Callithrix jacchus: one gene and its partners. The protein of the gene in region 2 purifies or fractionates together with the protein of the main gene of each other region. This does not show direct contact. Links are inferred from orthologs where the notes say so. Each region holds a gene or a part of one and is shown on either strand. Other genes may lie near its edges.

Evidence for each region.
Region 1: the proteins of HNRNPA1 (region 2) and NGRN purify together in Homo sapiens (affinity purification with mass spectrometry; 3 studies listed by BioGRID and IntAct, counting the BioPlex papers as one, with this or other methods). This does not show direct contact. The link is inferred for Callithrix jacchus from reciprocal best matches to the Homo sapiens genes HNRNPA1 and NGRN.
Region 3: the proteins of HNRNPA1 (region 2) and RPS3 fractionate together in Homo sapiens (co-fractionation; 3 studies listed by BioGRID and IntAct, with this or other methods). This does not show direct contact. The link is inferred for Callithrix jacchus from reciprocal best matches to the Homo sapiens genes HNRNPA1 and RPS3.
Region 4: the proteins of HNRNPA1 (region 2) and MOV10 purify together in Homo sapiens (affinity purification with mass spectrometry; 3 studies listed by BioGRID and IntAct, counting the BioPlex papers as one, with this or other methods). This does not show direct contact. The link is inferred for Callithrix jacchus from reciprocal best matches to the Homo sapiens genes HNRNPA1 and MOV10.
Region 5: the proteins of HNRNPA1 (region 2) and HNRNPM purify together in Homo sapiens (affinity purification with mass spectrometry; 6 studies listed by BioGRID and IntAct, with this or other methods). This does not show direct contact. The link is inferred for Callithrix jacchus from reciprocal best matches to the Homo sapiens genes HNRNPA1 and HNRNPM.
Region 6: the proteins of HNRNPA1 (region 2) and DHX30 purify together in Homo sapiens (affinity purification with mass spectrometry; 3 studies listed by BioGRID and IntAct, with this or other methods). This does not show direct contact. The link is inferred for Callithrix jacchus from reciprocal best matches to the Homo sapiens genes HNRNPA1 and DHX30.
Region 7: the proteins of HNRNPA1 (region 2) and HNRNPH2 purify together in Homo sapiens (affinity purification with mass spectrometry; 3 studies listed by BioGRID and IntAct, with this or other methods). This does not show direct contact. The link is inferred for Callithrix jacchus from reciprocal best matches to the Homo sapiens genes HNRNPA1 and HNRNPH2.

What each region holds. Positions count from the first base shown.
Region 1 is NC_133507.1:19,384,568-19,389,199, forward strand, and holds the start of NGRN (neugrin), read left to right. Parts: upstream 1-1,559; 5' UTR 1,560-1,587; coding exon 1,588-1,751; intron 1,752-2,158; coding exon 2,159-2,269; intron 2,270-4,632. UniProt on the Homo sapiens protein: Plays an essential role in mitochondrial ribosome biogenesis.
Region 2 is NC_133510.1:65,267,809-65,272,446, forward strand, and holds the start of HNRNPA1 (heterogeneous nuclear ribonucleoprotein A1), read right to left. Parts: upstream 2,993-4,638; 5' UTR 2,932-2,992; coding exon 2,917-2,931; intron 2,359-2,916; coding exon 2,242-2,358; intron 1,952-2,241; coding exon 1,805-1,951; intron 1,668-1,804; coding exon 1,457-1,667; intron 1,357-1,456; coding exon 1,264-1,356; intron 1,178-1,263; coding exon 1,085-1,177; intron 948-1,084; coding exon 873-947; intron 669-872; coding exon 513-668; intron 1-512. UniProt on the Homo sapiens protein: Involved in the packaging of pre-mRNA into hnRNP particles, transport of poly(A) mRNA from the nucleus to the cytoplasm and modulation of splice site selection.
Region 3 is NC_133511.1:65,547,366-65,551,206, forward strand, and holds the end of RPS3 (small ribosomal subunit protein uS3), read right to left. Parts: intron 2,471-3,841; coding exon 2,283-2,470; exon of another isoform or gene 1,819-2,282; coding exon 1,625-1,818; 3' UTR 1,622-1,624; exon of another isoform or gene 824-1,621; 3' UTR 751-823; downstream 1-750. UniProt on the Homo sapiens protein: Component of the small ribosomal subunit. The ribosome is a large ribonucleoprotein complex responsible for the synthesis of proteins in the cell. Has endonuclease activity and plays a role in repair of damaged DNA.
Region 4 is NC_133508.1:150,656,936-150,660,791, forward strand, and holds part of MOV10 (helicase MOV-10), read left to right. Parts: coding exon 1-35; intron 36-1,300; coding exon 1,301-1,455; intron 1,456-1,735; coding exon 1,736-1,912; intron 1,913-2,022; coding exon 2,023-2,170; intron 2,171-2,618; coding exon 2,619-2,777; intron 2,778-3,309; coding exon 3,310-3,413; intron 3,414-3,592; coding exon 3,593-3,690; intron 3,691-3,786; coding exon 3,787-3,856.
Region 5 is NC_133523.1:8,000,923-8,004,474, forward strand, and holds part of HNRNPM (heterogeneous nuclear ribonucleoprotein M), read left to right. Parts: intron 1-412; coding exon 413-466; intron 467-2,549; coding exon 2,550-3,352; intron 3,353-3,552. UniProt on the Homo sapiens protein: Pre-mRNA binding protein in vivo, binds avidly to poly(G) and poly(U) RNA homopolymers in vitro. Involved in splicing.
Region 6 is NC_133516.1:30,535,291-30,539,883, forward strand, and holds the start of DHX30 (ATP-dependent RNA helicase DHX30), read left to right. Parts: upstream 1-1,785; 5' UTR 1,786-1,806; coding exon 1,807-2,002; exon of another isoform or gene 2,003-2,282; intron 2,283-4,061; coding exon 4,062-4,192; intron 4,193-4,593.
Region 7 is NC_133524.1:97,712,538-97,716,357, reverse strand, and holds the end of HNRNPH2 (heterogeneous nuclear ribonucleoprotein H2), read right to left. Parts: intron 2,817-3,820; 5' UTR 2,764-2,816; coding exon 1,414-2,763; 3' UTR 614-1,413; downstream 1-613. UniProt on the Homo sapiens protein: This protein is a component of the heterogeneous nuclear ribonucleoprotein (hnRNP) complexes which provide the substrate for the processing events that pre-mRNAs undergo before becoming functional, translatable mRNAs in the cytoplasm. Binds poly(RG).

The DNA of each region.
Region 1 (4,632 bases), on a different chromosome or scaffold from region 2:
CAAAATATAATATGGCACTTTCACTAGGGCCAGAATGGGGAAGTTAGGGTATCCATTTATTTACTTCTTTATTTTTTGTTTTTTTGAGACAAGGTCTCTGTTGCCCAGGCTGGAGTACAATGGCTTGACCTCACCTCACTGCAACCTCGGCCCACGGGCTCAAGCAATTCTCCTGCCTTAGCCTCCTGAGTAGCTGGGACTACAGGCACATGCCACCATGCCTGGCTAACTTTTGTATTTTTTATTTTCGCCATGTAGCCCAGGCTGGTCTTAAACTCCTGAGCTCAGGTGATTTGCCCACCTCCGCCTCCCAAAGTGCTAGGATTACAGGTGTGAGTCACCGCAGCAGGCCTGTTTAATCCTTTCTGTACAGTAGACTGTGGTGATAGAAATGGCAAAAACAGAGTCCTGGCACTCAACAAAGGTAACAGGAACATGGACAAGTAGACATTCCAATGGCAATACAGTGTGATAAAGACAGTGGAGGGACGCATGGGATGCCCTTCTTCTGTGTCATTGGGTTACAGTTGGGAAAGAGGTGAGCAAATCTCTTCTGTGAGTACCAACTCAGGGACATCCATGTTTCCGCTGCAGAAGGCCAAGCCAGCAGAAGGTTAGAAGCCATAAACCGAGTCCTGGCAGGATCAGTGCCACCCACTTTAACCCCAAAGCAGGGCTATCTTCTGCAACCGGAAAGGGTGGCATCTGACTCCTGGGCTGAATGCACCTTGCCCTCCGTGGTAAACTCTGAACACATAGAAGCCAAGGTTCCCCTCTGCCCTGCGTCTGCACCGGTGCTGCAGCGTTCCAGAACACTCTTCAACATCAGTCAGTTCAGGTAAAAGCAGGAGGGAAGCCCAGCACTCTACCTCTCCTAGAGAACCTCCCGAGGTTTCCAGAGGGGCAAAGGGTATTCAATCTATGCTAAATGAAAGATTGCCACCAAGTTCCACTTTGAAAAGCCCTGCCCAGGAACCCCATTTGCACAAGGCAAAATACAAAGACACCAATACCCTAAGATTATTTGGAAATCGGGAAAGCCTAGAAGATGAAGAGGCGCCAAGGACAGCCACGTACTGATTTCTGCTCATCAAGCCTTAGCCTGGGTTTGTCGCTAGGTGACGGGTCTTAACCCTAGGTGCGGCCCGGGGCTGAAGGCCATCCTGGAGACAAAGAGCCCCTTTCTCTGAGGAGCCGAGTACCCAAGTCACCGGCTGTCGCCGTCAGAAGACCGCTGACCGGAAGCCCTGCCCGCGGCGGTGGCGGAGACAGGCAGGCCTGGGCAGCCGCTAGTGCGGAGAGACGGCGCTTGGAAACTGAATCCGTTTTTTAATTAAAGTTTGTGCCGTTTTCTAGGCGCGTCCTGTGCCTCATTTCCGAGCTCGCGTTTCAGGGAAGCCCCCTCCGCAGCTACAGCCACGAAGGCTGGGCCAAAGAGCGCCACAGGCCCAGATCTCCCCCAAACCAAGTGAGGCAGGAAATATTTGCTACCACTCAGCTTCCGGCCCGCCCCTTTCGCTTCCGGTTCTGCCTTTCTACTTCCGCTGCTGTCTCGTAGCGGACTACTGAAGACTAGTTAGCGTCGACATGGCGGTTACCCTGAGGGTCTTGCTGGGCGGCCGCATTCGCGCTGCCGTTGCTCGCTGTGGGTTTGCGACCGGGGGAGTGGCAGGCCCAGGCCCTATCGGCCGAGAGCCCGACCCCGATACCGACTGGGAGCCGGAGGAACGGGAGCTGCAGGAGGTGGAGAGGTACAGGCTTCTCCCCGGGCCCTCAGCTTGAAGCAGGGCCTCGCGCCCCGGCGCCCTAGGCTGCGCCCTCGGCGCTGGGCGTCCTGTGGCCGCTTGCGCAACGTCCCTTGTTCCTTCTTACCCGTTGTCAGGGGCGCAGCGTCAGGTGTTCAGCTCCCCTGGAACCCCTGGTCCCTTCACTAGTGACGTATTTCATCACCAATATAGAAAGTTCGGCATCTCGCGGGCAGTTACTGTGTTCTAGGTGTTAGCTTTTGGGTGTACAGAGCAGCTCTAAGCAGGCAACATGGCCCGGTTGCCCTTGCAATCCTAGAGAAGAGGGCTGGGCGCTCCTGATTTAGCCTGAGGCTCTTCAAACATCCATTCTGCTTCCACGCATGGCTTCCGCCCTTGATTCTTTCCCCCAGCACCCTGAAACGACAGAAAAAAGCAATCCGATTCCAGAAAATTCGAAGGCAAATGGAGGCGCCTGGTGCTCCGCCCAGAACCCTGACGTGGGAGGCCATTGAGCAGATCCGGTAAGACTCAGTGCACCTCCTATGTTTCTGCTGTGATGAGAAGTGAAGGATACAGGATCCCAGAACACGGGTTTGGCTTTTATATTTTTGTTTACTTTTTGTCATTGAAATTTATTATCAGAAAAGTAGAGTAATATAACGAACTTCCATAAACCTGTCATCATCTAGATTTAATAGTGTTTTGTTTTGCTTTTTAAAGAGACGGGGTTTCGCCATGGTCTCAAACTCCTAACCTCAAGTGATCTGCCCACCTGGGCCTCCCAGAGTGCTGGGTTGTGTCCAGCCTGGATTTAATAGTTTTTTTTTTTTTTGTTTTTTATTTTGGGTTTTTTTTTTTTGGTTAGGCAACTGGAAAGATTTAATAGTTCTTAACGTTATGCCATGGTTGGTTCATTTTTGCTGACATTTAAAAAAAATAGTAACGGAGACATCACAACATTTAAGCCCTGAATGGTAGATCATAACCTTCCCAAGGTCCAGGGATGCTGGTGTTTCCATAGTTAGGTGCATTTTTCTGAATAGAGGATCCATAATTTAGGGAAGCTTAAAAGGGATTTTAAGGTTTTTTTGTTCTGAGTAGGTAAAGCATTACATAATGGCTTACTGTCTTTTTTTTTTTTTTTTCTTTTTTTCTCTTTTTTGAGACAGTTTCGCTCTTGTTACCCAGGCTGGAGTGCAATGGCGCGATCTCGGCTCACTGCAACCTCCGCCTCCTGGGTTCAGGCAATTCTCCTGCCTCAGCCTCCTCAGTAGCTGGGATTACAGGCACGCGCCACCATGCCCAGCTAATTTTTGTACTTTTAGTAGAGACAGGGTTTCATCATGTTGACCAGGATGGTCTCGATCTCTTGACCTCGTGATCCACCCGCCTCGGCCTCCCAAAGTGCTGGGATTACAGGCGTGAGCCACCGTGCCTGGCCTTGGCTTACAGTCTTAACAGTATAACATGGTATACGCATTGAGAATTATTTGTCCCACCCACTGTCCTGTGGATATTTTTTCACCCCTACGGATCACTGCAACCTCTGTCTCCTGGGCTCAAGTTATCCTCCCACTTCAGCCTCCCAAATAGCTGGGTCTACAGGTGCATGCCACCATGCCTGGTTAATTTTATTTTTTGTAGAGACGGTCTCATCATGTTGCCCAGGCTTGTCTCCAATTCCCGGGCTCAAGCAGTCTTCCCATCTCGGCCTCCTAAAGTGTTGGGATTATAGGCATGAGCCATTGTGCATAGCTGTACTATTTTTTTAATGGTTTTTCTCTACCAAAAATAGCCAGGCTCCGTGCCCTGGGTGAGTCACTGCGCCTGGCCCTTAATTCTTTTTTATAGATGGCATTATCATAGTTTTTTGAGGCAGTATAAGATAGCGGTTTTTAATTTAATTTTTATTTAAACATTGGTTTCCTCCTTTCTATTTAACAGAGATGAGGATTTCACTATCATGACCAGGCTGATCTCAAACTTCTGGCCTTAAGTGATGTTCCCATCTCGGCCTCCCAAAGTGCTGGGATTAGAGGTGGGAACCACCACGCCTGGCCAGGATGCATTATTTAACATGTCTTTTGTTATGAGCGTTTAGTTGGGCTATTTCCATTTCTGTTGCTCACTAATAGTGCTCCAGTGAATAATTTTGTATATGTATCATTCTACGTACTTGTCAGGAATATTTTTAAATACATTCCCAGAAGTAAGGTTGCCAGGTCAAAAGACAGATGTATTTGCATTTTGATAAATATTGCTAAGTAGCCCTATGTAGGTTATGTATTATTTTTTATTTCCATCAGAATGACTCTGGAATTGAAATTTAAAAGGGGATTCTGTAGAGCTGGATAAGATTTTGTGAGCCTGTAGCACCTTCTGGATCCTCGGTCAGGTCTGTCTCCTTTTTTTTTTAAATTTGTTTTTGTTTGAGATAGTCTCACTCTGTCTTCCAGGCCAGCGTGCAGTGCTGAAATCTCAGTTCACTGCAGCCTCTACCTCCCAGGTTGAAGAGATTCTGGGACCTCAGCCTCTGCCTCCAGGGTTCAAGAGATTCTTGGGTCTCAGCCTCTTGAGTAGCTGGGATTTCAGATGTGCACCACCACACCTGGCTCATTTTTGTGTTTTTAGTAGAGATGGGGTTTCACCATGTTGACCAGGCTGGTCTCGAACTCCTGACCTCACATTTTCCACCTGCCTCAGCCTCTCAAAGTGCTGGGATTACAGACATGAGCCACCGGCGCCCACCCTGTATCCCCTGTCTTCAACAATAGCTTTTTCACTCCTTTCACCTTCCTACTTATCTCCCTTTTTTGTGGTCAATAAATGTCTTTCAAAAAAAAAAAAAAAACAGTCCCTTAAGTAAGAACTTTCAGCTTCCTGG
Region 2 (4,638 bases):
AATTCTGTTTAGTGGTCAAAATAAAAGTAAGATTGGGTTAACTGCCTTCCTTCCTCCCAAACTATGGTGACTCCATCTTTGCATTTCATTCTCTGGGAAAGGCATTCAGTTGAATAATCCAGTCGTAAGAAAATTGGCCTAACTCCATGACATAGAGAGATTTCCATAGCGGCACAAACACACCCTCCAGCCTTGAAGGCCTTCATGGGAGATCTAGGGCCACAGGCAATCAGAAATTTCTTGGATCCATCAACTAAGCGCCTAAGGTCCCAAAGCATTTAAGATACTAAATCCTTCTATGACACTAATCTAACTCAAAGACACCATTATCCACTTATCTCTACTAATTGGGAGTGAGGCGGCCCCAGCTTAAAGCTAGGAGGAGGTAGCATAGCAAGCCCATTTAATATACCATGCAGTGTACCAGACAATGCTTCAACAGCACCAAGAACCCAAGCTCTAAAAGGCTATTCTAGCTGTCACACCAAGTACTTGGATCACTGGATACCTACCACTACCACCGCCAAAGCCGCCTCCGCCTCCGTTGTTATAGCTGTCATAGCTGCCACTCCCGCCATAGCCACTGCCCTGGTTTCCATAACCCTGTCCACCACTTCCATAGCCTCTGCTTCCTCCAGAGTAACCAGGGCCGCCTCCTCCATAACCACCTACAAGAATACAATTCTTCTCAATAAGACAAAAGTATTTGACAATGAAAACTTGTGCAAGTGTAATGGCTGAAGGCCTGCTCACAGCATGCGTGTTATGGGAAAAGTTGAGCTTGTCATGCACTAGAATTTTAGTCTTGACTAACCTATTCTAAAGACACAGGTTGCCAGGAATTTTTATCTACTTATTCCTAAAAAACTTACCATCATTGCCAAATCCATTATAGCCATCCCCACTGCCACCATAACCACCACCACCACGGCTGCCACCAAAGCCACCTGGAAGAAAACAAAGTTTTAAGTTTTAAGCATGATCTGCATATCAAATGACATTCTGGATGCACTTCCTGTACTGTAAAACCTGCATAGCAAAGATGGTAAGAAGTCAGAACTACAGGTAAATAAGCCGTACATACCACGACCGCTGAAATTTCCTCCACGACCAAAGTTGTCATTCCCACCGAAACCTCCTCCACGACCACCACCAAAGTTTCCAGAACCACTTCGACCTAAAGAGATGAAGTTTAAACGTTAAATCATTCATACTGGAGTAACTGAAAGTTGCTTTTAAGGTTTAATGAAGCAATAAGCATACCTCTTTGGCTGGATGAAGCACTAGCCATCTCTTGCTTTGACAGGGCTTTCCTAACTTCACAGTTGTGGCCATTCACAGTATGGTATTTCTGAACTAAAAAAAAAAAAATGAAGACAGGTACAACATGGTCTCAGGGTTTAGAACGCCACATGGACTGCGGAACCCTTACTAAATACCACTATTTGATACTTACTGACAATCTTATCCACGGAGTCATGGTCGTCAAAGGTTACAAAGGCAAAGCCCCTTTTCTTGCCACTGCCTCTGTCCGTCATGATTTCAATCACTTCAATTTTTCCATACTGTTCAAAATAATCTCTTAGGTGATGTTCTTCAGTGTCTTCTTTAATGCCACCAACGAATATTTTTTTCACAGTTAAGTGGGCACCTGGTCTTTGAGAATCCTAATAGGAGGAAAACCACAGGTTTAGATTAGCCAAACCTACACCCAAATAAAAAAATTTTTAAGTACAAAACTCCTGAATCCAAATACACTAGCAGCACATCGCCAAAAGAATTGAAGGGTAAAAAAACCACTCACTTCTCTTGAGACAGCTCTCTTTGGTTCCACAACTCTTCCATCCACTTTGTGTGGCCTTGCATTCATGGCTGCATCCACCTCCTCCACAGTTGCATACGTGACGAACCCAAAGCCCCTGGAGCGCTTGGTGTTTGGATCTCTCATGACCTGAGAACAGTGTTAATTCATGTAACAAAGTCTGACCCCAAAAACTTTTGTAATTTTAACTTTGAACAAGGGAATAGGAAACTTTATACCAGCCCTGTACAAAAACCCCTCCAGTTTCCCACTATCCTAGGTTTAAGAGGTAACTCTATCAAACAAAGCAGGACTTTCCTTCGTCAACAAGGCTCTAGCTATAATACTACTAACAACCTTCCTAAGTATTCAGAGAGAACCGCCCCAAGATAAACCAAGGAAATCCACTATTTTACTGTTTGGTCCCTTCCAATTCTTACCACACAGTCTGTGAGCGTTCCCCATTGCTCAAAATGGCTCCTGAGGCTCTCATCGGTTGTTTCAAAGCTCAACCCTCCAATGAAGAGCTTCCTCAGCTGTTCCGGCTCTTTAGGAGACTACAGTGGGGGAGGCGGAAGTGTTAAATGAGCTGTAACACCAAACAATTTCCATCGAGGAAAATCAAAACTAGACAACTGTGTATGTAGCACTTATTGTTCGTTCAGATTGCAACAAGCCATGTGCTTCTCTCTAACAGGGGAGAAGGTATGTTGGGGGTTGGGAGTGCTGCGAAATCCAAAGCGCATGCGTCCCTAGTCGCCTTCCGACGCACGCGCAACAAAGGCTTAGGCGGGAGGGGTACATCGCCAAAATGGGACTAATCGCTCTTTTAAAAACTCGCTCACCAAAGCAAGGTTTAGAAAAGGAAAAGCCTTATGTGCGTAAGAATTTTTGCTAAGACTATAGAGTGCTGCATAATAACTCATGATTGGCGCGAGCGGCCTCATGGCGATCAACAGGACAAAATGGCGACTTGAACTTTGGGAGGGGTAGGCCGTGGCAGCAACCTAAAAAACTGTAGAATGGGCTGGTGAAAGGAACGAAACCAAGCCGCATCTTACCAATTCAGGAAAGGAAGAGGAAGAAATTCAAGTTGGAAAGAGCGCCTAACTCACCTCTGACTTAGACATGATCGCGGGGAGAAGAGAGACTTTAACGATGCTGCTTCGGCGGCGTCCACGGGCAGAAAGGAGCAAACTGACGAACGTATCTGCCAGCCTACCTTCGGCCTTTCTTTTTTACCCCGCCTCCTCCCTTTCAGCATTGGTACACTCCGCCCTTGAACAGTTCTGATTGGATGTGTGAAATCTCTTCCCCCTACTATTGGCCTGTGGTGCCACACTGCTGTGTAACGTCATTCCTTTGGGCGGTCTACGCCCTCTCCACCCCTTGGAGTTCATTGGTTCCCGAGTAATATTATTCTTAACCAGTCTGATTGGCCAGCCGATAAATCATTCATATTTGAATATACCTTGGGTGTTTAACGCCTTTTTAATCTTCCCCGCACAAATATTACGCTTGGCAAAGCATGATTAACACTATGTGTCAGAAAAGCAGTTAGCCAGCAGGTCAAAATTTTGACTGCTTGTTGAGCGCACGTGTAGTAAAATGGCGAGTTTTGCGCAGGCGCATTAAGAACTTCCAGCAGCCTCTGGGAACACGTGAAATGGCGGGCAGTACTAGGCAGTGACCCTACGGCGCCTGCGTATTGGCGGGAGTTGGTTCCAGCTTTGCGCATGCGTGGTGGGCGGAGAAAGGGTCCGTTCCCGGATTGGTTGCGCAGGCGCAGGGAAGGATCCGTTTTGGCGGGCGGTTGGCGTTGCGCAGAAGGTGGTGGCGGTGGTGGCTTGCGTTGCGGCCTCACCATACAGCAACAGGGCAGACGTTAGCGTGAGTGATCACTCTCAATCCCGGGTAAGTGGCAGACAGTCTTCTCTACCCATCGTAGGTCTCGAACTGACTCTATTTGGGCCCGTTATTGTGTGAAATGAATGGACCGCGGGGTGGGGGATAGTGAAAGGGCAGCGGTGGGTCGGGCCAACCAATAGAAGAACAGGGGGCGGGATGTTTTAATCCCTGTAGGTTCTTTGGAGCGGTGCAGCTGAAGACTTTGACTGGCTTGCGTATACGCCAATTGGGTCTGCCTTGAGCTGCCGACTGATGGGCCCTTGGGGCCATCGGAATGTGGGAGACGGGTTTCCCCTCCTGAGCTGCGTCTCACTGAGCCAGTAAGCGCGAAGCGCGCGGTAGGTTGGGCTTCTCCAGGAGGCAGCGGTTTGACTCCAATGGGGAATGCGGGAGTCGGGCGGTTAAACTGATGGACCGAATCTGGAGCCAGTAGACGGACAGCCTAAGGAAAGTGCTCGGACCAGTCGTCCAATCGACTCCAGAAGAGGGAGGTCTTCGATTTGGGGTTGTGAGGAAGGGGAGTCGGTGAATGTAATGGCGTGTGAGGGTGAATGTTTTATCCACAGTGACTTCTCTAAGGAAGCCTTTAGGCCTCTGTCCCATAAACCTCCTTGAAAGCGTAAGTTTGCTCCTGGCTGCCTCGACTTGACATTTTCCCCCCCACCTCCTCACCACTTGAGGTTTGGAGAACAGGGGAGGGTTTTGTTGTTGTTAAGTAATACTTTGAGAAGTCGCTTCTTTAGGAAGCTGTTAAAATGTTAGAACGAATAGGAAAAATCACAACATACTGTCATGGAAAGGCGTTCGAGAAATATTTCTTTCCTAATAGTGCATATTTCTGAACTAATATGTTGTAGGTCTAATAAAAAAGTTTCGGAAAGCTACACCCTAAAGTGTGTCAATCCTAGGGACACAGTAGGATCGAGGCA
Region 3 (3,841 bases), on a different chromosome or scaffold from region 2:
TCTCTCACCAGCCAGGCTGCATCACCAGGAAGCAGCCACTCAATTTGGCCTTGCAGGCCATAACAGCTGTCCCTGGAAGTCCCTCTGTGATCAGCCAGAATCTGATTTATCAGCAGTCTCATGATTTTCAAGCCAACCTCTCTCTCACTAGTTTTTCCTGAGTAAATAGTGCCCAATTTCTTGTAAAATACATACTGGTAGAAAATACTTCAGAACACTGACAGATAAAATCAGAGACAATTTAAATGTTCTTTATAGTTCTCCAGCACATAATGGTCTAGAGAACACAACTTAGGAATGTGGATTCTAAGGACAGCTTTTTACTGCTTAGGCAAATTTACTTCTGATCCTTAAATATGGTGGCACAAGCAAATTTCCTTTACACTTTATAGAGCTTGATTAAATGAGTACGTATGTGAAGAACACTTAGAACACAGCATGACAGAAAACATAATGGCCATTTATACTCACTTTGTATATGCAACGTGGATCACTTTACACAGGAAAAACTCAATATAGCCCTCTTCTAAACATACAATCCTGAACTACAGGACAACGAATCAAGGTGCTGCCTCGCTTGCCATCAGCCTTCGCTATTACACAGATACTTCTCTAGTTAGTTCTGCTTGGGTCTTACTGTTCTGGTCCTTGCAAATACCACAAGTATGGTTAAAACCAAGAAGATATGTAATGTTCTGCAGATCAACATGCCCCTCAGTCTGAATGAACAGTCTAGTCAGGCCTTGTGTCTTTTGTACAGTATTTTATTAAAGATCGTTACAGAGCAACATTCAGACTCCAGAATGCAGCTGCCAAGGAGACCCTGAAACCAAATAAACCACAAAATTAAGAAACTTTACTGGAGTTACTAAGCCTTCATTTACCAAATGGATACACACGCCCACTTAGCAACACTAACAAAAAATACATACATAAACGTTTGTCCTTTTTCACATAAAATAATTACAAGGCTCCTAGAGACACAAAATATAAAACACCAAGAAACAAAAAACCCCCAAAGGTTGACCATAGGAGGCTTGTTTTACAGGGGCTGCTAAAGGACAGAATAGCCAATTACTAGCAAAAGTATCTACAAAATCTTGAGCAACAAGGCATGGTGGCTCATGCCTATAATCCCAACACTTTGGGAGGTCAAGGCAGGGGGATCACCTGAGGTCAGGAGTTTGAGACCAGCCTGGCCAACATGGTGAAACCCTGTCTCTATTAAAAATACAAAAATTAGTCAAGCGCGGTGGCTGGTGCCTGTAATCCCAGCTACTTGGGAGGCTGAGACGAGAATTGCTTGACTCTGAGAAGCAGAGGTTGCCACTACACTCCAGCTTGGGCGACAGGGCAAGATTGTGTCTCAAAAAAATAAAATAAAGTATTTGAGCAAATAAGGGAAAACTATTTCATACACAGGAGTAAAAGCAGGAACTTCTTTCTGAAATAAAGGCAAACACCTGTCCCAATAGAACTGAGGGTTAAAGAGATCCCAGGTTTCAACTTGTATTCTCCCACATCACCAAATGCTCACCAGAGTATGGGATACAAGTTATTAACAGAAAGACTAGGAAGGACCCTATTCTGCCCCAAGAGACCCCTGCCCCTGCAGGCATACCTGTTATGCTGTGGGGACTGGCTGGGGCATGGCAGGCGGCTCTGGCTTCCCACCCTTCTGTTCTGAGATGGGGGTGGTAGGCAGTATCTCATCTTTGGGTTCCACGATGCTCACATGGTCAGGCAGGGGCTTCTTAGGGCCAATCTTACCAGTTGGGTCCCAGGGCAGCATGATCTTCACCTTGATGCCCAGCACACCTAGAAGACACCACAGTTGTTAGCACACAGCTGGGGGTCTCACTGGCCCCCACCACACAAGACCAAAGAGAGCAAGCAGTTTACTCAAGCAACCTGGGTCTGGTCCCTTCTCAGACAAATGCCTCTAAATCAATCAATGAATAGGACACACTTCTGCAAAAGGAACCTGTGAACAGCACCACAAAACATGGCACTGTCAAGGACCAAGAGCAGGATGTGACCTTTCTGACTCGTCATCGTGTCATCACTGAAGGGTACACAGATGGCTAAAACAAGGACAAACCAACTCTTGGATCTAAAAGGTATCAGCAATTCAATTCTTACAGATAAATATGGCAATCAACATGCCAAGGAGTATGACCATGCCCAGCCACTTCCATGATAAACTCCCCAAATACTTAGATGTCTGTGGAAAACCAAATGTGTCCACAAATGCCCTTTGCCAAGCACTCTCAGCTGCTTACCCTGTCTGAGCAACACATGGCGTACGGCAGTGTCAACGTAGTAGTTAACAGGGTCTCCGCTGTGGATCATCAGGCCATCCACAAACTTCATGGATTTAGCCCTCTGTCCTCGGAGTTTCCCAGACACCACAACCTCGCAGCCTTTGGCCGAGCTCTCCATGATGAACCGCAGCACACCATAGCAGGCCCTTCAGAAGAACAGGAGATCCATTCTTGTGTTACTGTCAAGGACAGAATTTATCTAACAACCCCCACTAAGTTTAAAAACCAGAAGAAAACTTAGTTTTCAATGTTCCTTTAATGGAGAATAAATCTGACCAGAATCTGGCTCCAAAAATATTAATTCTCTTCCAGGCTTATCATACCTAATCTTAGGGTAATATTCATCAAGTACGTCAAGCTCCTAACCAAGTACTTTCCAACCCAGGCTGCCTATCAGAATCACCTCGGAAAGCTAAAAAAAACAAAAGAAACCCTGATGTCTAGGCCCTATTCTAAGCCAATTAAATGGGCAAAGTCCAGGCTTTATGTATTTAAAAATGCTCCCTGGGTGATTCTCACATATAACCAAAATTGAGAACCACATTTTTACAAGTACCCACTTTGTGGTTCCTTGAAATATTCTGCAACCTCCAGAAGTCTCATTCACTAGGAAAGCTAACCCACACAGGACCCTGGCTACCTCGTTATTAGAATGCTGATAAAACATTTTAAAATATGCCCTACCTGCAACTCATTTGGTAGTTTACACTCCGCAAGATAAGAGGTAGCCACCTCCAGGCCCTTTCACATTATCTTACTTACTATTCCACAATTGAGAGGTGGTATAATGGTCCCCCTTAGAAGATAGAGGAGATCCTAGGCTCAGAAGTTCATTAACTTGCTTCAGTGTGTGAAAGCCCATGTGGGGGAGAGTTAAGACAGATTGCTGAATCACACATCCAGTTTCCCATTTGGTGGGTCTGGGATGGACACAAATCTTCTGAGAACCACTGTTCTAAGCAACACAACTGGCACTCAAACCAGGTAAGCAGTCTTTTCTAGGTCCTTACCTAGAGCCCGGCCTACACCACCCATCCTTACCAGTTAACCTTCCTACAGCACAGCTTTCCCCTAGGCCAGGCATTCCAATGCCTTTACATACAAACTGCACAAAGAACTTCCAGTTGAAATCTTACCAGCAGACCCTCACATTACTACCTGCATGCAACTTAGAGGTTTTCAGTGTCTAGATTTTAAGCTCTCTCCCAGTAGGTCTTATCTCTTCACAGTAACATTTTAAGAGTGAACACACTACGTAGATTTGAATGACCCCTACTAGCTTGTTCTAAGTTTCATGGTATCCCACAAATACTAAGGCACTTCTACTTAGGGATACATAACACATGCCCAGCAACAGGCCTAAATTATTCCCTATTGCCCGCCACCCACCACAGGGCTCTTTGTAAGACATCCTTGAGAAGACCAACAGGAGTTGGCCCCCTCCTTGGACAGTTCTATTTGTGTTTAACTCCCAAAGCACCCGTAACACTTCTCCATTACAACACTGAATATACCCT
Region 4 (3,856 bases), on a different chromosome or scaffold from region 2:
CCGTGGACCAGAACCCCAGGCTGCTCACGCTGGAGGTCAGGGCTCAGATTGAGTGTGAGGAGGGTGGGCTCAAGTCAGCCAAGCTACAGGCTGTGGGCAGAACTATTCCTGACAGCAGGGCAGAACAGGAGGAAGGTTGAAGTGGTTCCCAGGCCTCCGAAAGAAGCCGGGTGGGCATCCTGTGCCCAAAGGTGTCTGAGCAGGGGCATGGGGAAGATCTGGGTTCTGGTCCAGGCTTCGCTACCACCTTGGGTAAGTCCCTTGCTTTCTCTGAGGCTTAGTTCCCTTATCTGAAAAGCGTAGAGCAGGACTGGATAATTCTTAGAACTCTTTCTAGCTCTTGGATTTTGAATGTGTGTATATAAGCCCAAAATTACACAAGAGAATGGATTTCCATACACAAGCGCAGGTGGGAATGACAGGGTGAGTTTGATCAAGGAAAGATGACTGCAGAGAGTGGGAGTTTTGAACAAGATTTTTTTTTTTTTTTTTTTTTGAGACAAAGTTTTGCTCTGTCGCCCAGGCTGGAGTGCAATGGCGTGTTCTCAGCTCACTGCAACCTCCGCCTCCCAGGTTCAAGCGCTTCTCCTGCCTCAGCCTCCCGAGTAGCTGGGATTACAGGAAGGAGCCACTGTGCCCAGCTAAGATTTTATTTTATGTTTTCAATTGTTTGGAGACAGGATCTCACCCTGGTGCTCAGGCTGGAGTACAATGGCATGATCTTGGTTCACTTTAATCCCCACCTCCTGGGCTCAAGGGATCTCCCACCTCAGCCTCCCGAGTTACTGGGAAGACAGGCCCGCCCCACCACACCCAGCTAAGTTTTGTATTTTGTGTAGAGATGGGGTTTTGCCATGTTGGCCAGGCTGGTCTCAAACACTTGGACTCAAGTGACTGCCTGCCTCAGCCTCCCAAAGTGTTGGGATTACAGACGTGAGCCACCATGCTTGGCTTGTTTTCTGTTGTTGTTATTTATTTTTTTTTTAGCAACCCGATTAGCTGAGGAACAGGATTTTTACAGGCAGAACAGGAACTGAGCTGGCCAAGGGGCAGCTGCACTGGAGGCTCCGGGTTCCTGGGCTCGGCACCTCTGTGCAGCTTTGGAAGATTTGTTTTCTGTTTCCCTGACTCCTGCTCTGGCTGGCATGAAAGGAGAGAGAGGTGTAGGGATAGCATAGTTCCCTGAGCCTTAGGTTAGAAGGCGAGTCTCAGTCCTTGTCCCTTAGAGGTCTGGAGAACCTAGGGGCTGGGCCCTCCAGCGTCCTTCCCTGGGATAGAAGCTTGTGTTCATGCCCCATAGGTTCCTGGGGTGACCGAGAGCCGCCCCTCAGTGCTACGGGGTGACCACCTGTTTGCCATTTTGTCTTCGGAGACACACCAGGAGGACCCCATCACTTATAAGGGCTTTGTGCACAAGGTGGAATTGGACCGTGTCAAGCTGAGCTTTTCCATGAGGTGGGTGTTGGGTGAACCCTGAGCTGCCGGAAGGATCTACAGGCTTTTCACCCCAGGGGAGGAGGAGTGTTTCTCCCTAAGATAAATGAGACCCCAAGGGCAGAGCAGGGAACTTTTCTTCAGGGGTATTCTGAGATGCCACAGTGGCTTCCTCTTGTAGAGAGCTTTGCTGTGAGGTCTTGGAACGTGGTTGGGACGGTGGTTGATGGAGAAGGTTCTGACCCTTTATTGCCCACTTCCCCCTCACAACAAATTCTTCCCTCCCTACCTCTGCCCAAAGCCTCCTGAGCCGCTTCGTAGATGGGCTGACCTTCAAGGTGAACTTCACCTTCAACCGCCAACCCCTGCGAGTCCAGCACCGCGCCCTGGAGCTGACAGGGCGCTGGCTGCTTTGGCCCATGCTCTTTCCTGTGGCATCTCGAGACGTCCCGCTGCTGCCCTCGGATGTGAAACTCAAGTGAGACTGTGGGCAGGGAGCCTCTTGGCGCGTGGGCACAGGGGAAGGAGTTGGGGAGGCCTCGGGGTCACTGGATGACTTCAAGTTCCCATTCCTGGTCCCTCTGCCAGGCTGTACGACCGGAGTCTGGAGTCAAACCCAGAACAGTTGCAGGCCATGAGGCACATTGTTATGGGCACCACCCGTCCAGCTCCCTACATCATCTTTGGGCCTCCAGGCACCGGCAAGACCGTCACATTAGTGGAGGCCATTAAGCAGGTGGGGCCTGAGCACAAACCTGGGGCCTGCACTGTGACTCCCCCAGCACCAAGCCTGGTTCATTCCCACTCCCCTGCAGTGCTCATGCCTGTAATCCCAGCACTTGGGGAGGCCTAGCCCGATGAGTTCAAGACCAGCTTGGACTGTCTTTATGAAAAAATAAAAAAATTAGCTGGGTATTTGAGGCTGCAGTGTGCTGCGATGGTGCCACTGCACTCCATCCTGGGTGACATAGTGAGACTCTGTCTCAAAAAAAAAAGGCAGGGGGGATTGGGGAGTACGAAGTTAGGGTAAACGTTGCTGTGGAGCACTGTTGCACAGGTAGGGCACTCCGTGACTCTTGGAGTCACCATTCACATTTCAGTCATCAGAGGCTTGCACCGCCCCAGCCTGAGTACGGCCAAGTCTCAGGAACCTGCCTCCCTCACTGCGCGTATCTGTATCTCAGGTGGTGAAGCACTTGCCCAAAGCCCACATCCTGGCCTGCGCTCCATCCAACTCAGGGGCCGACCTCCTCTGTCAGAGGCTCCGGGTCCACCTTCCCAGCTCCATCTACCGCCTCCTGGCCCCCAGCAGGGACATCCGCATGGTACCTGAGGACATTAAGGTACTAGGGAAGTGCAGAGGGCCAAAGAACGGCGAATGCTGGGGAGGCCAGGAAGCTAGGAGATCTGGATTCTGATACTTGCTGTGTGGCCTTGGGTTGGTCAGGACCCTCCCAGGGCCTCAGTTTGTAAGTGAGGAAGTGGATAAAACGTTTGGGGGGGTCAGGTGCCATGGCTCACACTTGTAACCCCAGCACTTTTGGGGGGCTGAGGCAGATTAGGAGTTTGAGACCGGCCTGGCCAACATGGTGAGGCTGTCTCTATTAAAAATACAAAAAAATTGGCTGGGTGTGGTGGCACATGCCTGTAGTCCCAGCTACTCGGGAGGCTAAGGCACGAGAATTGCTTGAACCCAGGTGGCGGAGGTTGCAGTGAGCCGAGATCGCGCCATTGCACTCCAGTCTGGGCAACAGAGCGAGACTCCGCCTCAATAAAAAATAGAAATAAAAACAAGTATCTGGGGGCCCACAGCCGGAGTCTGGGTGGGAATGAGTGGAGCCAAGCTGATTCCTATGGTCCCTTCACAATCCACAGCCCTGCTGCAACTGGGATGCAAAGAAGGGGGAGTATGTTTTTCCCGCCAAGAAGAAGCTGCAGGAATACCGGGTCTTAATTACCACCCTCATCACGGCTGGCAGGTGGGGAGTGTGTGTGGTTGTGTCTCTAAATCGTAAGTTTAACTAAAGGGGTAACAGGCTGGGAGATGGGGAAGAATGGTTTCTGGGGGGTGGTGGGATGAGGAGCCAGCCTGGGAAAGCATTCAGGTTTGGTAGCTGGGTGTCTGGATATGACCCCTGCCTGGCCTGACACCTCCCAGGTTGGTCTCGGCCCAGTTTCCCATTGATCACTTCACACACATCTTCATCGATGAGGCTGGCCACTGCATGGAGCCTGAGAGTCTGGTAGCTATAGCAGGTGAGGGACTCAGGTGGGGCTGCAAGTGTACACCCTGTGTGAGGTCAGAGAGGCTGCACCACTTACCTTTTTCCCCACACCTCTTCTGCTTCCCAGGGCTGATGGAAGTAAAGGAGACAGGCAATCCAGGAGGGCAGCTGGTGCTGGCAGGAGACCCTCGGCAGCT
Region 5 (3,552 bases), on a different chromosome or scaffold from region 2:
AAGTTGGCTGGGGTGGGGGTGGGGGCTTAGTTTCCAGCTCAGGTGAGGTAAGGAAACCTCAGTCCTGAGAATCTGGACCAGAATTAGAAAACTGCTGCTGAGCAAGACCTGACGGCTCCCTTCTTGCTCTGGCTCTCAGCTCATGGATGCACACGGGGCTCCTGTCTCTGCCGGGCACATTCTCAGGTGACCCCCCACGCTCGGCCTTGGACTCTGGAGCTACCTGGGGTCTTGGCATTGTGACCAGCAGCAAGGACTTTGCTTGTTCTCTGTACAATGATCTTGTCTGTGTGTGTATGTTTCTCAACCCTTTCCCTTTTTCTTTTCATTTTTAGTAGTATTTCTGTAATGAGCACATTTCTGTTGCCATAGAGAAATTTGGCTAATTTTTTTTTCTTCCTGATTTCCTTAGAAATCCTAAGTAATGCACTGAAGAGAGGAGAGATCATTGCAAAGCAGGGAGGAGGTAGGAACTACTTAGTTTGATGTTTTGTTTTTTTAGAATAGGCTGTTATTGGTGGGGACCATAGAGCTTAGTGGTGAGAAGCATGGGCTCTGACACAGACTCCCTGGGGTGGGACCAGATCTGCTGCTTTCTAGCTGGGTGACATTTGGCAAGTCACTGAACCTGTTTCTCATAGCACTCATTTGTAAAATTGGAGTGTAATAGTACCTGCCTCAGGGATGCTGTGTGGAGAGGGAATGTGTGTGAAAGAGTACTGAAGCCTGTGCTGTGCACAGGCCGACCATCCTTACTGTCAGAGTACCTCGAATTTGGGGATTTTGTTTTCCACACTATAAATCCCTAAAAGTAAATATGTTTCCTTCTACTTGGTAAGTAGAAGAAATGTAATAAATGCTTACTAAAATAGATACATGTACTCAGTAGGAAAATAGGAAGAAAGTGTGATCTGAAGCCCTGCACCCAATGATGAGTGCTGGAAACATTCTGTTCTGCACCTTTCATGAATACACAGTTTTATGGATGCCTAGAACAAAATACACTTTGTGGGGGTTTTATTGGAGACAGTCTCACTCTGTCTCCCAGGCTGGAGTGTCATGGTGCAATCTCGGCTTAACTGCAGCTTGGACTTCCCAGGCCTAAGCAATTCTCCCACATTAGCCTCCCAAGCAACTCTGGGGCTATGGGTGCATATCACCTGGCCTGGCTAATTTTTTTGTATTTTGTGTAGAGACAGAATTTTGCCATATTGCCCAGTAACTTGAACTCCTGGCCTCAAGTGACCTGCACACCTCCAGAGTTATGTGATGACTGGTGTGAGCCACCACGCCCAGCCTAAATGTACTTTTTAGCCTGATTTTCTTCAAGGCTCTGAGTGTCTTGGCATCTTCCCTGCTGACTTCTGTGTTGGGCTTGCTCTGGAGCTCCACACTGGCACCATTTTTCCCCAGTTTTTGCAGCAGTTGGCATTGGGAGTTGCCTCATTTCTGATGTCTTTGGGCAAAGTGCCGATTCTCACTAGGTTCCTTCTACTGTGGGGAAGTTGGTTAGCTTCTGAGGCCTCTCCCCTCTGAAAATCTTCCATTCTTCAAGTTGGGCTTTTTGCTGCTCAGTGTGCTGCTGGGCAGTTAAGGAGCAGCAGAGCCACTCGGCCATGGTCAGTTAGAGAGCCAGTTAGAGAAACTGCTGAGTTTTCTCTTGAATTGGTATCTTGGACTAGAGCTCCTTGGATCAGTCACAGGCTGGCACGTGGCTGACAGCCACCCTCAGAGCCAGGCGGCGGCATTTGCAGGAGGAACCCTGAGCTTGGCATGTGGAAAGGGGTGGCCTTACTGATGGAGCCAGACCCTTCCTGTCCAGAGTTGCAGGGAACCACCAGTTGGGGTCCTTTCATTTTGCTGACTGACCCCAGCCGCTGCCAGAGCCAACTCTGCAGTGCCATCGACATCTTCTTTCCAAAGCTAGCAAGATATTTGGTTTCCCCAACAAAAAGGTCCCCTGAAGTGGCCAGCTGTGTGCATTTGTACACAGAGGATCTCTCTTGGTGTGTGTTTTCTTGACCTCTGCAGATCTTTTCTCTGTACCCTGGAGTGCTGAGGAAATGCAGCTGGTTTGGCCCCCAGCAGAGCATCCTAGGGGACAGGGTGGGAGCAGACAAGTGGGAGTGACTCTGACTTGCCTGCACGTCACTCCTTTTCATGACCCTGGGTGGCCCTCTGAGTGGGGGGTGTCCATGCCTCCCCCCGGAGCATTTCTCAATGTCTGCTGATGGAGAAACCTCAGGTCTCAGCAGTTGACATCTGTGGCTCACAAAGCTTGTCACAGACACTAGCACCTCACAGGCACATGCAGGAGAGTTGTGTTATAGAAATCTGAGCTGTGGCATAGAGCAGAGAGAATGCTCTGAGGCCTCCCTGTACCCACCACTCAGGCTGTAGCTGTTGTCAACATTCAAGGGGTGTCTTAATGGTAAATTATGGTGGGCCTTTACCTCTGATCTGTGCCCATGAGCTGAAGTGGTCTGGCATGTTGTGCACATGCACACACAAGTTCTTGGCACTCACTGTGTTTTGTGTCCCTGTTTCAGGTGGAGGTGGAGGCAGCGTCCCTGGGATCGAGAGGATGGGTCCTGGCATTGACCGCCTCGGGAGTGCCGGCATGGAGCGCATGGGCGCAGGCCTCGGCCACGGCATGGATCGCGTGGGCTCTGAGATCGAGCGCATGGGCCTGGTCATGGACCGTATGGGTTCCGTGGAACGCATGGGCTCTGGCATCGAGCGCATGGGCCCGCTGGGCCTCGACCACATGGCCTCCAGCATCGAGCGCATGGGCCAGACCATGGAGCGCATCGGCTCTGGCGTGGAGCGCATGGGTGCCGGCATGGGCTTCGGCCTCGAGCGCATGGCCGCTCCCATCGACCGTGTGGGCCAGACCATTGAGCGCATGGGCTCTGGCGTGGAGCGCATGGGCCCTGCCATTGAGCGCATGGGCCTGAGCATGGAGCGCATGGTGCCCGCAGGTATGGGGGCTGGCCTGGAGCGCATGGGCCCCGTGATGGATCGCATGGCTACCGGCCTGGAGCGCATGGGCGCCAACAACCTGGAGCGGATGGGCCTGGAGCGCATGGGCGCCAACAGCCTCGAGCGCATGGGCCTGGAGCGCATGGGTGCCAACAGCCTTGAGCGCATGGGCCCTGCCATGGGCCCGGCCCTGGGCGCTGGCATCGAGCGCATGGGCCTGGCCATGGGTGGCGGTGGCGGTGCCAGCTTTGACCGTGCCATTGAGATGGAGCGTGGCAACTTTGGAGGAAGCTTCGCAGGTTCCTTTGGTGGAGCTGGAGGCCATGCTCCTGGGGTGGCCAGGAAGGCCTGCCAGATATTTGTGAGAAATGTAAGTGGCTCTTGGGGAACTTCTTGGTGGTGGTGAGCACCAGGGGACGAGGGAGGCAGAGATCCGCAGGATGAAATCAGAGGTGGCGCTCCACAGAAGGGACCACACCTCATTGCCCTTGTCCCTAATGTTTTGTGCTAGTAGGACAAGTAAGGAATGTGAGAACTGGGTTCAGGAATTGCCTGGGCTTCTCCACTGTG
Region 6 (4,593 bases), on a different chromosome or scaffold from region 2:
CCTCCACCTCCCTGTGCAAGTGATTCTTCTCTCTCAGCCTCCTGAGCAGCTGGGACTACAGTTGTACACCACCATGCCCAGCTAATATTTTGTATTTTGAGTAGAGATGGGGTTTCACCATTTGGCCGGGATGGGTTTTGGTCTCTCGACCTTGTGATCCACCTGCCTCAGCCTCCCAAAGTGCCTGGGATTACAGGCGTGAGCCACCATGTTTGGCCTTTGCTTTACTTATTAACTAAATGTAAGGGGGTTTTAGGCTGCCTTCAGCCAAAACTTCTCCTGAAAATACGAAAAAACTTGCAGGCTTTTCGAAAGGGTTTGAGACTATATCGTGTAACTTTCTCTACCGTTTTTCCCTTAATATTTTTGCCACTACCTCCTACACAAGTCTCCCTCCCACTGTGCTCCCCCACCCCCTGCCCCGCCAAGAGACTGAGACCTTGAGGCCCTGGCTCTGCGCTGTCACTACCCTCAACATACAGATTCAGTCTAATTCCTAGTTGACCCAGAGCCCTGCTCCTCAAGGCCATAGGAGGCAGAAGAGAAATGAGCCTGGCTAAGATCCAGGCAGAATATTTTGGAAATGAAATCCTATTTGGCGTTCCAGCAAGTGCAGAACAGCAATTTTTTTTTTTTTTTAAGATGGGGTTTCACCATGTTGGTCAGGCAGGTCTTGAACTCCCGACCTCAGGTGATCCGCCCGCCTTGGCCTCAAAAGTGCTTGGATTACAGGCGTTGGCCACTACGTCCGGCCAGGAACAGCAATTTCACTGCTGGACTTCACGCTGGACCAGCTCAGTTCCTGGCGGTTTCCAAAGTTGGGTGTTTTCACCTTCCCCTCCAGCCCTGGGGATTACATCTGTTTCTGCTTATGTTGAAGAAGAGGTCTTCCTTGGCCTGCCTCCAGATCTTTTTCGTTTTTAAACATAATAGAGTTGGGGTCTCACTATGTGGCCCAGGCTGGTCTCAAAATCCGGGGCTCAAGCAGTCCACTTGCCTCAGCTTCCCAAAGTGTGGGGATTACAGCTGTGAGCCACCACACCCTGTCCTGGCTCCAGATCTTCACCAGGTTTACTTTGTAAGCCATTAAATAAGATGGGGTGGCAGGGCGTGGTGGCTCATTCCTGTTATCCCAGCACTTTGGGAGGCCGAGGTGGTTGGATCACCTGAGGTCAGGAGTTCAAGACCAGCCTGACCAACCTGGGGAAACCTGGTCTCTGCTAAAAATAAAAAAAAAATAGCAAATACAAAAATTAGCTGGGTGTGGTGGCAGGCATCGGTAATCCCAGCTACTTGGGAGGCTGAGGCAGGAAAATAACTTGAATCCAGGAAGAGAGGTTGCAGTGAGCCGAGATCTAGCCAGTGCACTCCAGCCTGGGCAACACAGCAAGACTCCATCTCAAAAAAACAAAAACAAAATGGGGCTGCCGATTTGCCAGAAGCATGTTGAGAAGTTGAGAGATAGGAACAATTGGTAGGGAACTAACTTCGCTTCCTTATATGACATTGAGCTAAGGCCTAGCATTATTTTCTCCCCCAAAGACCCATTCCGTCTTCCTGCCTCCGATCCACGTGACTGCCGGTTTAGATTTGCCGGAGAGTGAGCTCGGCAGGTTCCAAGCCCTGGGCCGCGCCGAGCCTGCCTACTCCTGGGCGCTCAGGGCTGTAGTGAGCGGATGCCCTCGTCCAGGCTCGGCCGTCGGGTCCGCCCGGCCGGCAGGGGGCGCGCAGAGCTCAGGCCGGCTGCTCCCGTTCTCTTCGCCAGGTCTCTTCAGCACACAGGCCGCGGGGGTCGGCGGGAGCACGATGGCGGCCGCCAAGAGGTTCATGGGGCTGGTCGCCGGCGTCTCCCCGCGCCTGCGGCCGCTGGGTACCCGCTCTGCTGGACCACAGAGTCGGTCGCGCAGCTTCTCCTCAGGCTGCGCCCCCTCCGACTGCACCGAGGCCGAGTCAGGGATGGCCCCGGGCGGGCCTGGGGAAGGCGACGGAACAATGGTGAACGGTGAGGGCAGCAGCGAGGGTGGGCGGCTACGCCCTTGACTCCTGGGATGGCGGCGCTAGGGGCGCGGGCCGAAACCCGGCCTAGCGGCCGGGGGTCCTCTCTTTCATAGCGGCCAAGTTCGCCATCCGCCGGCGGGACGCCGCCCTGCTGTTTGTAAAGCTTAGCGTGGCACAGGCCCAAATAGACCCTTAAGAACCTACCTGCTTCTGGCAGGAATAGTTGAGAGGCGCGAGACCTCGAGACAGTGAGGAAAACGAGTAAAAGTCCAACTCCTGCCAGGGTGAGTAAACAAGGGCTAGAGCTTCTAGGGATAAGCATGCCTTCACCAGTGTGAGAAATAGCCCAAAATACTCCTGAGACATCAGGATCTCAAATAGATACAGAATGACTGCTCTGGTGGACTCCAGCTTTGTGCCTCCCGAATAGTGCAGAGAATAAAGCTGGCGAAAGCATCGAAGTTGGGTAGAGAACGCCAGTCTCCACCAACCTTATAAAGCTGAAGGGGGGGTCTCAGTGCACCTCTGTTGTTAAACCAGTGGATCTACTAGGCTATTCAGAGTTAGGTACTTCTGTGACCAGTCCCCCGAAGTCCACTTATATATGGTTTCTTAATTGCTTGAATCTTAGTTGCTTTACAAGTGACCGCTTAGAGGGAGACCGGACCAGGTGTTCTCCATCCTGGCCACTTGACACAGGACTCTGTTCCAAGGAAACAATCTCAAACCAGCAGCAGAGTTACATCAGAATGCTTGGAGGCATTTTTTTCAAAATAAAGAGCCTCCTCCAACATCGCTGCCATTCTCAGGTGCCCTGTGGGGAGCTGGATGCCCATGTGGTGAAAAAGCTCCCCGGGTGATCAGTGTACATGCAGGTGCACATGTGCATATAGAGTGCTCCTTTTGGAACTGCCAGAGTCTAGAGTGGAGAATATGGACCGCCCCCCATGTTCCTAGCAGACCTCTTCATGACCTGGTTAAGCCTTGTGTCTGGTACAAGCTTCCTCTAGGTAGACATCTCACCCATTTCTGCTCTGGGATTGATCCAAAAAACAAGTGAAAAGAAGCAAGGCACCTCTCATGGTATCTGATGCATCAGTTTTCTCTGTGATTCCAGAGAACTTGGAGGAGGAATAACTCATTCCTGCTCAGATGTAGAGGTCTTTTTAAATTAATTAATTTTTTTTTTTGATACGGGGTTTTGCTCAGGCCGGAGTGCAATAGCGTGATCTCGGCTCACTGCAATCTCTGCCTCCCGGGTTCAAGTGATTCTCCTGCCTCAGCCTCCTGAGTAGCTAGGACTACAGGTGTTAGCCACCAATCCCAGCTAATTTTTGTATTTTTAGTAGAGACGGTGGTTTCACCCTGTTGGTCAGGCTGGTCTTGAACTCCTGACCTCAGGTAATCTGCCTGTCTTAGCCTCCCAAAGTGCTAGGATTACAGGCATGAGCCACTGTGACCAGCTGTAGAGGTCTTTAATCAGTCCCCACACATAGTTTGGCTCTGTGGAAGCCTTTTGCAGTGTGCTTAGGTATACTTGAGAGCCGGGGCCTGGTATTCAGTGTCTGGGTCTCATCACTTGAGATACATACGGCCAGGCCTCTCTTCTGTGTGTATCATTTTAGGAGGGGCCTTGCATTGTCTTGATCTCCAGTTTGTGTGTGTGGTGAATTTTTGTTTTGTATTTTTTGTTTGTTTGTTTGTTTGTTTAGTACCTTCTTTCAGACATCAGACTAGGAGGGTTTATTAACCAACCAGGCTTCTGTAGCTGATGTATGAAATAAGGAGGTCGGGCGGGGAAGAGGATGCTGGTACATTCCCTTCTGTGGTGTATGGGTCATTAGCCCTTTTCTTTCAAGAGGTGGTTATTGGAGTGAATTATTCAAGTGGGTCTTGCCCCACTCTCCCCTGTAAACCCTGAAGTCATTCCTCCTTTGTTTTTCAAGATGCTCCTGGGTGGTTTGGGGTCATGAGCCAACATCCTCAGAATCCAGCCCAGGGTTGCACCATGGAGTTTTTAAAAGAAAAAGAACAATTGTAATGTTTTGTTCTTATTTTCTTAGCTTCTAGGGACTTATTAAAAGAGTTCCCACAGCCCAAAAATCTTCTCAACAGTGTGATTGGAAGAGCCCTTGGCATCTCACATGCAAAAGACAAACTAGTCTACGTGCACACAAATGGACCGAAGAAAAAGGTAACTCTGCTGGTGGCAAGGAAAAACACTGATATGACTGAGAAAGAAGGCTGTTTGTTCTTTCTCTCTTGGGTTTCTTTGTCAAGGAAGCCATAGAATGGGTTTCCTGAATTAAAATGGTCAGCAGATGCTCAGAGCAAAGCTAGGTTTGAAGAACAGCCAGAATACACATGCCTGGATTAGGGAAGCGGAACACAGGGCAAATGAGGCACCGTCTTGTCTAAGACAGGCCCCTACACTGATCCTTGGTTTTTGTTCCCCATCAACTAAGGACTGTGGAGGGTTAGAGATGATGATGAGAATTCTTGCCCTTAGAGTCCTATAAATTCTTGAACTATAGAAGCATGCAGGCAAACCATTCTGAATGATTTTTTTTAACATTTATTTATTTATTTTTGTAG
Region 7 (3,820 bases), on a different chromosome or scaffold from region 2:
TGCCATAACATAAGCCTGCTTCATTTTTATGTTTTGTTTTCAACACATAATAATTGTAAGCCTACTTCTTTTTTAACATACAAAGGTGCCTTCTAGTTTGTGGTGAAATAAAAAGGATTATTTATTTGCTTTCACTTCTTTGGATTTTAGAGAATACTATATTGGTAAGAACAGTCTCCAAAAGTAGTTCAACAGTCCTGTAGACATGGTAATAAGTTTTTTTTAAAGAAAATGTTCAACTTTAATATTAATCAAAGAAATACAAATTAAAATAGCAAAGATATCATTTCTCAACTAACAAACTGGCAAAGATCAAAAAAACTAACGTACATCAATAAGGAGGGTATGAGGGGGAAAAATAAAACACACAGTCCTCTAGGTAGAAAGATAAAGTACCAGAATCTTTCTGGTAACACAAATCACAAGCCTTAAAAATGGGTATATCCTTGACTCAGCAATCCCATTTCTAGGGATGTATCTTAGAAATAACTAATGATATATGCAACAATGAACATATAAAGATGTAAATATAATTTTTAAATTAAAATTTTTAAGAGGGAATTATAAAATCAGTGTGCCCATATGACAGAACATAATAAAAATCAGAGCAAGATTTTTTCCAGTTTTTAAAAGGAAGATTTATTTAACAAGTTTCACTTAGTACAATACATCTAAATGGAAATCACAATACAAGGAAAGATTTAAACCAAAGCCTCAGAATCTCATACAAACGACACGACCAAACTTCTAAAGTATTGGTATTACATCTTAAAATTGTCCCGTATCCTTTAAAAAAAAAAAAAGTAAAAGTGTACACTCACGTGCCTTACAGAGTATTAAACCAAAAAGCTAGAATTAACAAACATGCCAAATGTTTTCACTTTGAATCGTAGACACAGCTCCTATATTTGAGTTTTACAGAAAAGCATGTTTCTCAACATGCATCCAAAGTTTTCAATGTATTTGTGGTATAAGAGCAACATTTAACATAAGTGAAACTGCATTAACCTAAATAAGCTTACTGCTTAAGTACACTCCTACAACATAACTAACTTGAGAAAAGCTAAAAATCGTTTAAACAGTTATGGTCAATACTGAACTTTGTTATTATGTCCTAGATGAATGTTTCAGTGTTCAAAATTACTGAACTTGAAGTTTCAAAATAATCTCAACTCCCACTTTACAGTAAGCATGAATCACAAGCCTGTAATGCAAAACTGTTAAACTTAACTTTTGTTTTCTTAAAAAAGGAGAAAGATAAAGAAAGAGAAGCTGACCAAGAGTGATCAGTATCAATAATATTTCCCATATGCCAATCATACTGGATATACTAGACATCCCTCCCATTCTATTCAACTCCCATAAATGTACAGCTTTTATATCTAGAGTAGCTGTTTAGTGCTCCTTCTCTACCTAAGCAAGGTTTGACTGATAGTCACTGGAGTTTTCCTGGAGAACTTGGTCATATCCACTCATACTGCTCTGACCACCATAACCACCTCCATAACCACCACTCAGCTGCTGGCTAGCAGGACCGCCATAACTAGACTGGTTGGATAAGCCCATCCCTCCCATCATTTGGCTACCATAAGCGCCACCACTTGCCCCTGCTGTAGAATTCAAAAACAGTTCTACATAGCTGTGATCATAAGCCCCTCCACTTGTTCCTGCAGTAGAATTTAGGAAGAGCTCCACATATCTGTGTTGCATATTAGCCTTGTCTTTTGCCATAGCTGCCACAGCATCTTCATGAGTAGCAAATTCAACATCTGCCTCACCAGTAACTCTGCCATCGGGTCCAATTTCAATATGTACTCTCATGGGATTAAGAGGTGAGAAGAAATTATAAATATCATTCTCAGTGGCTCTGTAAGGTAACCCCCTCATGTGTACACAGTGCCCTGTGGTGCTCTGGAAACTGGACCCACCATCTCCATATCTATGATCAGACATTCCTGAAAAACAGTAATTGAGGTCTCTTCCAAATCTATCTGACCCAAAGCCATATCCATCATTATAGCCACCATAGTCATCATAGCCTCCATACCCTCCACCATAGGCACCACGCCTCATCCTTTCAAACCCAGCTCCTCTGCCAATGCTATTATACCCTCTGCCAGCCCCTGGCCTATCATAGGGACCTGGCCGCTGCATAGCCATGAGCTTTCGAGGGGGATCATAGTGGGTTCGAACTTCAGCTCGGCTACTCTTGAAGATCTCAATGTACCTGTGCCCTATTCTTTCCTTGTGTTTCTTTAAGGCCTTCTCAGCTATCTCCTGCGAAGCAAACTGCACAAAGGCTTCCCCTGTGCTTCGCCCCTGAAAGTCCACTGGCAGTGTCATCCCATTTGGCACAATTTCCAACCCTGAAAAGAACTGAACGATCTCTTCCTTGCTACAGCCAAATGGGAGTCCTCTAAGCCGGACGAAGCCATCGTTGGCAGTATCAGGGCTATTCGGACCTGTATGCTTCAACACCCAATCCATTTCAACACTGTTAGACTTGAATACTTCAACGTATCTGTGTCCCATGGTTTCTCTGTCCTTCTTCAAAGCCAATTTCACTTCCTCTTCAGATTCAAGTTCAACAAATGCTTCGCCACTTGGTCTTCCTTCTCTGGTGTAGATGAAACGAATACCTGATGTGCCATTTTGGATCTTGCAATCAGAGAAGAAGCGCATCACTTCATCAGCTGAGCAGGACCAGGGTAGGCCCCTGACCTTCACCACGAACCCCTCCCTGCCTTCTGTGCTCAGCATCATGGTGACTGTTGGGCTCTTGGTGGCAAGTTTGGCTCAACACAATTTTGGTGTAGCTGGAAAAAAAAAATTAGAAGACTACTGTCATGGAAAAATGCTAATACAGTAAAAGAGAAAAGCAAACTATTAATAGAAAACTCAATTATGCTGACAGCTTTGCTGTAAGACATCTGTATAAACAAAAAAGAATTCACCAAATTTTTAACTCATTCATTTTTTAACAGTTATTTATTCAATGCCTATTACGTGTTGGATACCATTAAAAATTAACAGCAATTGGCCAGGCACCGTGGCTCACATCTGTAATCCCAGCACTTTGGGAGGCCGAGGCAGGTGGATCACCTGAGGTCAGTAGTTTGAGACCAGCCTAGTCAATGTGGTGAAACCTCATCTCTACTAAAGATACAATTAGCTGGGCATAGTGGTGGGCACCTGTAATCCCGGCTACTCAGGAGGCTGAGGCAGGAAAATTGCTTGTACCCAGGAGGCAGAGGTTGCAGTGAGCCAAGATCACACCACTGCGCTCCAGCCTAGGCAACCAGGGCAAAATCCCATCTCAAAAAAAAAAAAAAAAATTAACAGCAACAAATAAATGGGAGATGTCAACAAATAAAAGATGGCTATATCTGAATATATAAACATAAAAAACTTCACTAGATCAAAAGATTAAACAATAATTAAAACACAAAACACAAGTTATATAAGTTCTTTATATAATATCCTTATATAAAAATGTAGGCAAATCAATAAAATCAGGGATATATTTAGGCTTCAGAGATAAATGAAAAAAAGACATTATTGGGAATTCACACATTCATTTTAGAAACATCTTGTAGTTGCCAAGTCCAATACTCGGCTCTAGCATACAAGAATCAATAAGCCCACAAAGGGCTTATGGTCCTACAGGGGGATTGTATGTAATTATTAAAGACATAAATGCAAATAGACATTATAATTGCCATGACCCTCTGGGTGAGGTGTAAGCACAGTATTAAGGAGGGAGCAGTTGATCAGTTCTATTGTTTGGAGGCCAAATGGTTAAATGAAACAGACTAACCTG